Linked DNA regions of Cricetulus griseus. The protein of the gene in region 2 interacts with the protein of the main gene of each other region in a biochemical or structural test. Links are inferred from orthologs where the notes say so. Each region holds a gene or a part of one and is shown on either strand. Other genes may lie near its edges.

Region 1 (4,191 bases), on a different chromosome or scaffold from region 2:
GGGGGGGCTGGGAGGAGGAAAGGGCCGTTGTGCAATCTGTCACCAATCCAAATGGAGGATCTCTGCCTCCCACCCATCCCCAAGGGTCATGGGGGAGGTGAAAAGGCCGACTAGGGAAATGGGGAGCCTGCTGCCTGCACATAGCCCCGTTTCTTCCGTACTCCTCAAAGTCGGATGAGCCGTGTTTATTTAAAATAAGCCCCCAAAAATGTGTTTTCAATTTTGTCCCAGCAGCTACGTTTAAGTACCCGTCAACTAGCCCCGTACACCCAAGTAACTGTTTGGAAGCCCTCAGACAAATGGTTGCTGCGATAAAGAAATGATCGGGAGACAAACTGCCCAATGCACAAATGCTTGCGGTGACCCAAGTCAATGGCCTGCCACCATCTGAGGAAGCAATTAGATGACCAGTTTCCCAGCCCCTGTCTGGAGATTGGGGTTTCAGAGACCTAGGACAGGTCATGGGAAGTCGTGCCCAGAGCGGCCCAGTGACCTGAGTAAACACAGGGAGCTTAGCCAGTCTCTCGGATTTCATCCAGGAGTGGGCCCTCGCTTGGCTTCAGAGACCGGCCGTTTTGTAAACTAAAGGCTAGCTGGAACCTTGCAATCTCTGTTTCGCTGCTCCTAGTTCGTTTCTCAGCTCCTCCTGTCCTCGCCTCAAGCTGCTCGCCAACAATCCATAGGCTCCCACCCTTTCTCAGAAGGGAAAACTTCGCCGCCCCACCCCGGCTGGGCGCTGATGGGCCCCGCACGGCCGAGTCAGTCCCCGCACTAGGTCCCAGTCAACTTCTGGACTTCCCTGCTCGCGGCTTCCACCTCCCGAGCGCCGGCTGCCGCCCCTCGCTGCGCGCCGGGCGGTCTGCACTCTCTCTTCCCCGCAAGGTCGGAGAGCCCCTTTCGGCGGAATTTAGGGAAGCTCTGTGGTTTCCCACCCGGAGAGGAAGAAGGAAACTAGATCTTCGGCCCCCGGGGTGCCAGCGAACAAAGGACAGCCTGCGGGGCCCTGCTCCCGGGTCCCCAGACTATCAGCTCTGCTCCGCGCTGCGCTCGCCGCCCTCTGCCCCGCTCGCCTCCAAACATCGGCCAGAAGCTCGGCAGCGAACCGCCCCGGCCTAGCCGCCGCCGTGTCTGCGCGAGGATGGGGAAGCAGAAACAGCAACCCCCTCCACCCACCCACCCACCCACCCACACCCCGCCTCAAAGCTTTGCTTCGGAGCTCCAGAGCAGGAGAAGCCAGCGACCGGAGCCCCACTCCTCTCCCACGGCGACGGCGGGGCCAGAAAAAGCAACCCGGCTACGCACGAGGGAGCGCGGCAGGCGGCAGTCTTCTCCCGGCTTGGGGCCTCTGATAGGACACCCAGTAGCGACTCCCCCAGAGCTCTCTCTTCAGGGTATTTCTCCACTAGACTCCTCCCTTTGTCCAACTGGTGCGGAGTGGACTCTCATCCATATACTAGCCAGAGAGAGCGAGTAAAGAGCCCGGAGGCGTTGGGGGCTGAGCGGATGTCTCAGATAAGCTTCAAGCCCGGGTGAAAGGGCGGAGGTTCGAGACCCTCCGCTGCATGAACCGGCTTCCTAAGCATATACCAAACAACACACCCCTTCCCTCCGAACTACAAACTCCCTGGACACCCTCTTTTCACCGCAGACAGCCAGGAAGGCAGGAACAACAAACGCAGAGCCAACAGCTCCCAACACTTTTCCCCACCAAAGAAACCCACGCGCGGGTGCTCAACGCAAACGCGGCCCAGTCCCTAGCAGGCAACCTCGAGAGTTCGTGAACTTTCACTGCAGCGTCACGGAGATTGGGGCGCCGCCCCACGGACCTCTGCCCGCCGCCGGCGGGTACCGACTCCGGAGCTATGCCTGCGGGGATTGAGGGAAGGGGGGAAGGAAGGGCCGAAAGGGATGAAGGGTGAGACTTCCCGGGGTCGCCCAAGTCTGGGCTAGCACGCCGCGTACCTTTCCTTGGCCTCGGCAGCCCGGTCTCTTTGCCTCCGGTTCTTAAACCAGTTGCTGACCTGGGTAGTGGTGAGGCCGGTGGCCTCGGCCAGCTCTCGCTTCTCCCGCGGCGAGGGGTAGGGGTTATGTGCGTACCACTCCCTCAGCACGCCCCGCGACTTCTCCTTGAAACAGTAACTGGTCTCCTCACCATCCCAGATGGTTCGCGGCAGCGGGAATTTTCGGCGTACGCGATATTTGCCCACGGCACCCAGAGGTCGACCTCGAAGTTTCTCGGCCTCCACGTAGTGCGCTTTCAGCCACAGTTGCTGCAGTTTGGGGTGGTTGTGAGGCGAGAACTGGTGGCTCTCCAGGATCTTGTAGAGCTCGCGGAAGTTGCCGCGGTGGAAGGCGACCACCGCCTTGGCCTTGAGCACGCTCTCGTTCTTATGCAGGTGATCGCAGGCTGGCAGAGACCACAAGAACCTGCCCAGGCGTTCCAGGTTCCCGCCTTGCTGCAGAACCTCGCACACGCACGCCACTTGCTCTTGCGTAAAACCAAACGACGGCAGCATCGACATGGCTGGCGCTGCCGGGGCGCACCGGCCCGGGCGCACGCGGCAGTGAGCGGATCTGAGAGAGCAGGGGGGAGCGGCTGCCGCGGGGAGGGGTGGGGGCGCGGCTGCTCCTAACCCCCTCCCAGGCTTGGCGCAAACCAAGAGGCTAGTCGGACCTTGCGGGTGGGAGGCGTAGGAAGACCGAGAGAAGCAAGGGCGCGCTAGACTCCGAGTGGCTGGAGCACTCTGCAGCCTTCCGGGCCTCGCTGGCTCCCGCCTGCCGCCGGGTGGATGCTGTTGGTTGCCGGGGAACTTGGTTTCTGTTCTCCCCGCAGCGGCCTTAAAGCGCGCAGCGTCCCCGGCACGCTGATTGGCTGCAGGCGGCGCCTATCCGAAGCTGGCCAGCCTGCGCGCCGCCCGGCCAGGCAGCAAAGCCGCGCCGCCCAGCCGCCCCGCGTGGGGAGGGAGAAGCTGCTGCGGAGTAGAGTATAAGGAGTGTTGGGAGGAGGAGTACCCGGAGAGGTGGGAAGTGGGGTGGGGTCGGGAGGAGGGAACTAGGGCTCTGAAAAGGGTGGTGAGCAAGTCCGGACCTTGAAATGCGGCGCCCTCTTTGGTGTCACCTAAGGGGAGCCTCGCTCATCTCTGCACAAATCAATGACTGCAGACGTTCTCTAATGACCCTCTACGCCTTACTCCTATCCCTGTCCCTTGTAGTCTTGGCTTTTCCCGGTGAGCTCATATTTAATTACCTTAATGTTGAGATGAATAAATAATGGATTGATGAATAGCTTATGGAACGCGATAAATAATACAACAGCAGACTAGGGTTCTGTGCTGCAGGCACTCAGTGACTTCTCCCAGGTTTGTCTTCAGCTCCGGGAGCCAAACCTAATTCCCTCCCCCTTTTCCCTTCCTAAACCAAAAGGGCGCAAGTACTCTGATCTGGGCAGCATTCCCCTTATTCTCAAAGTGCCTCTAGAAGTGGCATCTGGAGAAGGGTTGTTGGCCCTGGCACAATAGCCGAGTTTGGATAGAGACACCCGTGCTTCATTTGCGGTTTAGTATCTTGACTTAGTCGACTGATTTCCTGGACTCAGTTTTCCCATTTGCACAGTGGCTTTTTTTTTTCCAGCGCCACCTCTGTTACCGATGAATGCCGAAAAGCTTTACTTGCCATTAGCAAAAATGTATTGGGAGCCTTATGCAAAAGGCTCTGGATGGGGTGTAAATTAAATAAAACTGTGCCCAGCTCCAATAACCGTCGCGCTGTAACATAATCCTTGCCCTGCTCTGAGAGGGACACTGCCCTCAAAGCTAGAACCACAGTGGCTCCAAGAAGATTAAATAAAGTGTGTGTGTGTGTGTGTGTGTGTGTGTGTTGCAATGCTAGCCTGTTTTGCTGCCAGAGAACCAGAGGTGTCCTGCAATTTAAGTCCCATCATCTGCTATTTTGTTTCTGTGTGGAGGATGCTTAGTAAAACTATACAAACAAATGAAGCTGTAATTATCTTAAGCCTCATTTGCACACCTTGTTCCAAAGCAATTATTAAAAAGATTTTGAAAACAATTAGCTTCTCTAAATAAAGATAATCTATTGTCAGTAGCTAAGACTGGCAGCAGATAAGAACAATGTGTGGAGATAAGGTAAGCCAAACGGTTGAAGGAGAGTGACTTTATGACTATACTTATCTCT
Region 2 (3,959 bases):
TCAGAACTAGAGAGAGTTGAATCCATGATGTTTCTGTGTTGGACCTGGTCCTGCCATGGTGTGTCCCATCAGTGTCGTGGTAACTGGCCATGCCCTGATGGCCTCAGCTTAAGAAATGTTCAGTAGGTGTTGCCTGTTACTGTTTGACGTGGCACTCAGTAATGAGTATTGTGAGTTAAGTCTAGGCCATTGAGCACGGCTACCCCGCATGCTGTGAACATTAGCTGGCAGCCCTGTTTCCCAGTCATAACATACAGGCACTTAGGAGCAACTACAGTTACAGCGCCAGCATGAGATGTGTCAATGAAAAATGAAACCCCATGACACCTTGTGTTCCCCCACGCACACACTCCCACCCCCAACCCTGTGACATGTCAAAATCTGGAGCAGTTCCAGCCTCAGAGCTTGCTTTCTTGGAAGGGGCAGCTGCTCTGGGCTGTGGGGCATACCACCTAGAGACACTCGGGTCCCAGGGATGGAACCCAAGGCCTCACATGTGTAAGGCAAGCACCTGCTCTCTAGACCTCTCTTTACTTTTCATTTTGCAGCACGGTCTCACAAAGTAGCCCAGGCTGGCCTTGAATGTGCTCTGTAGCCCAGGCTGGTATTGAACTTAGGATTCTTTTACTTCAGCATCTCGAGTAGCTAGGATTACAGAGGTATGGCACCAGGCCCCATCCTAGAGGCACTTGTGAAATTCTGTGACTGTCTTCTATGCCATTTTCCACCTGTACAAACAGCATACTGCCCACTTTGCTACCACAGCCAACTCTAAGTGCCCTTGCCCAGCTCCTCTAGTCTATGGGAGTTGAAATACCAATCCTTCCCCCTACCCTGTCACCCCTTCCTCTCCTGGGATGTCTCCCCAGTTCAAAGGCAATCCAGAAGAGAGACCAAAACACAATACCTCTAATGGGAAATTCCAAGCACAGGAGGGGTGTTTAGATGGAGTGGGCGTGCTCTCTAGGGGCAAGGACTTCATTTCCATTTTGACTAAAAGTTTGTGAATTTGTATTATATGGAATCTATTAGAAGGTTAGGAATAGGTAATCAGCTTTTAATATTTACATTCTTAGGGGGAAAAGATGATTCATTAGCAAACATGAATAATAATGAATAAATTAATTTCCCTTTGTCTCCACTCAGGTACAAGGCGATGTTAGAAGTGGTGATCTCACCCAGCCTCGCAGCAAGCAGTGACTGCAAGGAATCCCTGACGTGGAGTGAAGACAACGCCGCTGTGGGGGCTCTGAGTGACAGAGAAGGTAGGCCTCTGCAAAAACTTGACTGGACGAGTTAAGAGGGCCTTGTTCATTTGTGACAGGTAGAGGTTCCCATGGTACCATTCCCAGAACCTGACATTCCCACTGATGGTTCTAGAACAGAAGTTGGGTGCACATGGATCACAGTCTTGTCCATCATTCAAGGGACAGGTGTACTCGGTCTTGCCCTAGCTGCCCTTCTTGGTCTCTGGTTCCGAGAAACCCTGACATTTGCTATGAAGGACAGTCGCCCTGGGTGCATTCCTAACCCTACCAAAGGTATGACCTGTTGGGTCTTCATCTCTGTCCCTCAGCTCCCTCCTGCCATCACCTCTTCCCAGCAGGAGTCAGGTTCACAGGCTTCTGTGCCCAAGACGAGGCCTTGTCTGCTGTTGCTTTCAGGTTGGGTTGAAGTCAAGGAAGCAGAAGACAGTTAAAGCTGTTAGGAAATTATTGGCAAATGATGCTGCCAGACTAGTTTTCTCTAGAACAATCCAAGCTATTGTTTGCTCTGCTGGGATTGTCAGCCTTCCTGGTAGAGCCTGAGGTGAGCTGAAGGCATTAAGCTATCACACTGAAGCATTAGGCTTAACCCTTTCCCCAGCAGTGTGCCCAGGGATTCGCTGCCAGTGGTGTCTTCGGGTCCCCCTTGTTCTCTTTCATGGTCCCTGTGTGATGCCAGATCATCGGACAGGAATGTGACAGGACTGTCACAAGTAACCAAAAGGTCATGTGTCCAATGCAAAGCAACATCACAAGGAACTTTTTGAGAGAAAATCCAGGTTTCCCTGAGTAATTATTCTGTCACCAAGACGATGAATGGCATTGCCCTTGCATGCTGGTTATGACATTAGGCAACCCTGTTCAAAATCTTCACTGCAAGGGTGTGGGCTCTGAGACCAGGACTGGATGGTGGGAGGGAGGCACACCTGGCATCTACAAGCATCTGTGAAAATGACCCTCTGAAGGGTCAAAGACCTTCATAGTTTTCTCTCTGGGTAGATGCCCAGGCCAATTTCCTACTGTGTTTCCAAGTCAGCATGGCAAGGGTCTGGGCTGTGGGTGTGGGGCATCCAGGTCTGACTCCCAGCCCAGCCACTCCCCAGCCATGCAATCTTTCTAAGTCTTAGTTTCCAGCCCTGTTGAATGGGCTGTGCTAATGGACCACTCTGTAGAGTGCCGTACAAGGGATTAAATGAGGTTATGGTGTGTGGCAGGCCTGTCCCACCCCGGGGGCATGGTAAATGATTAAGTAGACCATTGTCACCCTCTGAGTCAAATAACCACAGGGATCAGAGGCAGGGTGGGAGTCTGGCCCTGGGCCAGTCCTTTGTTTGGCCTTAATGGTAAGTTGTACATAGTTGATGGCTTTGTGAAACATAGGGAGAGTGTACATCAAATCTACTTTCCCCTGACTCCTTCAGCTGCAAGAGGAACCTGGCAGCAGCAGAGAGGCAGTTGTCCCTTAGATAAGTCCCTGTCCCTCCCCTTCATCTTCAGTGTTCCTTAGAACTGACTCTGTGGCAGGCCCTTCCTCATCTCTGGTTCCAAGAAATGCTGACATTACCACAGAACAGGGTCATTTTGGGGTGCATTCCCAGCCAGGTCCTGTGAATCTGGCTTCCTCCTCTCCTCCTTCTCTTTCACTACCACAGCAAACATTTGGTGGTAATTTTGAACTGCGGGCTGAGGGTGTGGCTCAGTGGTAGAGCACCTACCTCAAGGTAAAGGGCTGGGAACATAGCTTGGCAGTATAGCATTTGCCTAGAGTCTACCAGTGACAACTCTGCATTCCTATATATGCATTTAAATCCCCTTCCTATTTAGTATACAGCTCAGTGCCTGGCTTATAGAAGACCTTAAAAAATACGGATGGATGAATAGGTGAGCAGGTGGGTGGGTGAGTATATGGGTGGACAGAGAGGCGGATAGAGAGATAGGTGGGTGGTGGGTAGATGAGTTCTTGGGTGGTTGGGTTGATATATGGGTGAGTGGTTGCATAGATGGGTAGGTGGTTGTGTGTTTTGAAGCATGGATGCAGATCTTGAGGGATGAGCTAATTTCAAGTCAATATTAGCTTTGAACCACAAATACAATTTTCTTAGCTTCCCCTGCCCAGGTTTGTTGCCTCCCTAAGGCTCAGGTCATGGCAACCTCCTCTTGGATTCTATTCTAGTTTCATCTCTGTTGCTCTGGTAAAAACACTCTGACCAAAGCGACTGAGGGGAGGAAAGAGCTTAATTGGCTTATACTTCTGGGTCTCAGTCCGCCATTGAGGAAAGTCAGGGCAATATCTCAGAGCAGAAACCACAGACGAATGCTGCTGTCTGGCTTCCTCCTAGACTCACGCTCAGCTAGCTTTACTATATTATATTCATTTATCACGTGAAAATTACATGGTGATTCGTATGTCTTGGTTTTCTCATTGCCTATTCTTTAAACTTATAAACCAACCAATCTCACCATCAACACCATGCTCCCTTCGAGCTATCTTGTGTGTTGTAGTCCTTCTTGTGTGTATCAAAACTCATTCTGAACTATGAGCTCTGGTTGTAAACGAAGACAGGCCCTTGCAGGCCTCGTCTCTGCTTTTGTGCACTAGTTGAACAAACCACACATGCATGCTACCAGCTAGCCTTCTTATACATTCCAGGACCACCTGCCTTGGGATGGTGACACCCACAGTGTGTTGGGCCC

The links.
Region 1: the proteins of Eya2 (region 2) and Six1 form a complex in vitro, tested with the Homo sapiens proteins (2 studies listed by IntAct, with this or other methods). The link is inferred for Cricetulus griseus from reciprocal best matches to the Homo sapiens genes EYA2 and SIX1.

Annotation. Positions count from the first base shown.
Region 1 is NC_048598.1:130,342,221-130,346,411, reverse strand, and holds the start of Six1 (homeobox protein SIX1), read right to left. Parts: upstream 2,801-4,191; 5' UTR 2,523-2,800; coding exon 1,963-2,522; intron 1-1,962. UniProt on the Homo sapiens protein: Transcription factor that is involved in the regulation of cell proliferation, apoptosis and embryonic development. Plays an important role in the development of several organs, including kidney, muscle and inner ear.
Region 2 is NC_048599.1:13,742,086-13,746,044, reverse strand, and holds the start of Eya2 (eyes absent homolog 2), read left to right. Parts: upstream 1-1,156; coding exon 1,157-1,265; intron 1,266-3,762; exon of another isoform or gene 3,763-3,888; intron 3,889-3,959. UniProt on the Homo sapiens protein: Functions both as protein phosphatase and as transcriptional coactivator for SIX1, and probably also for SIX2, SIX4 and SIX5.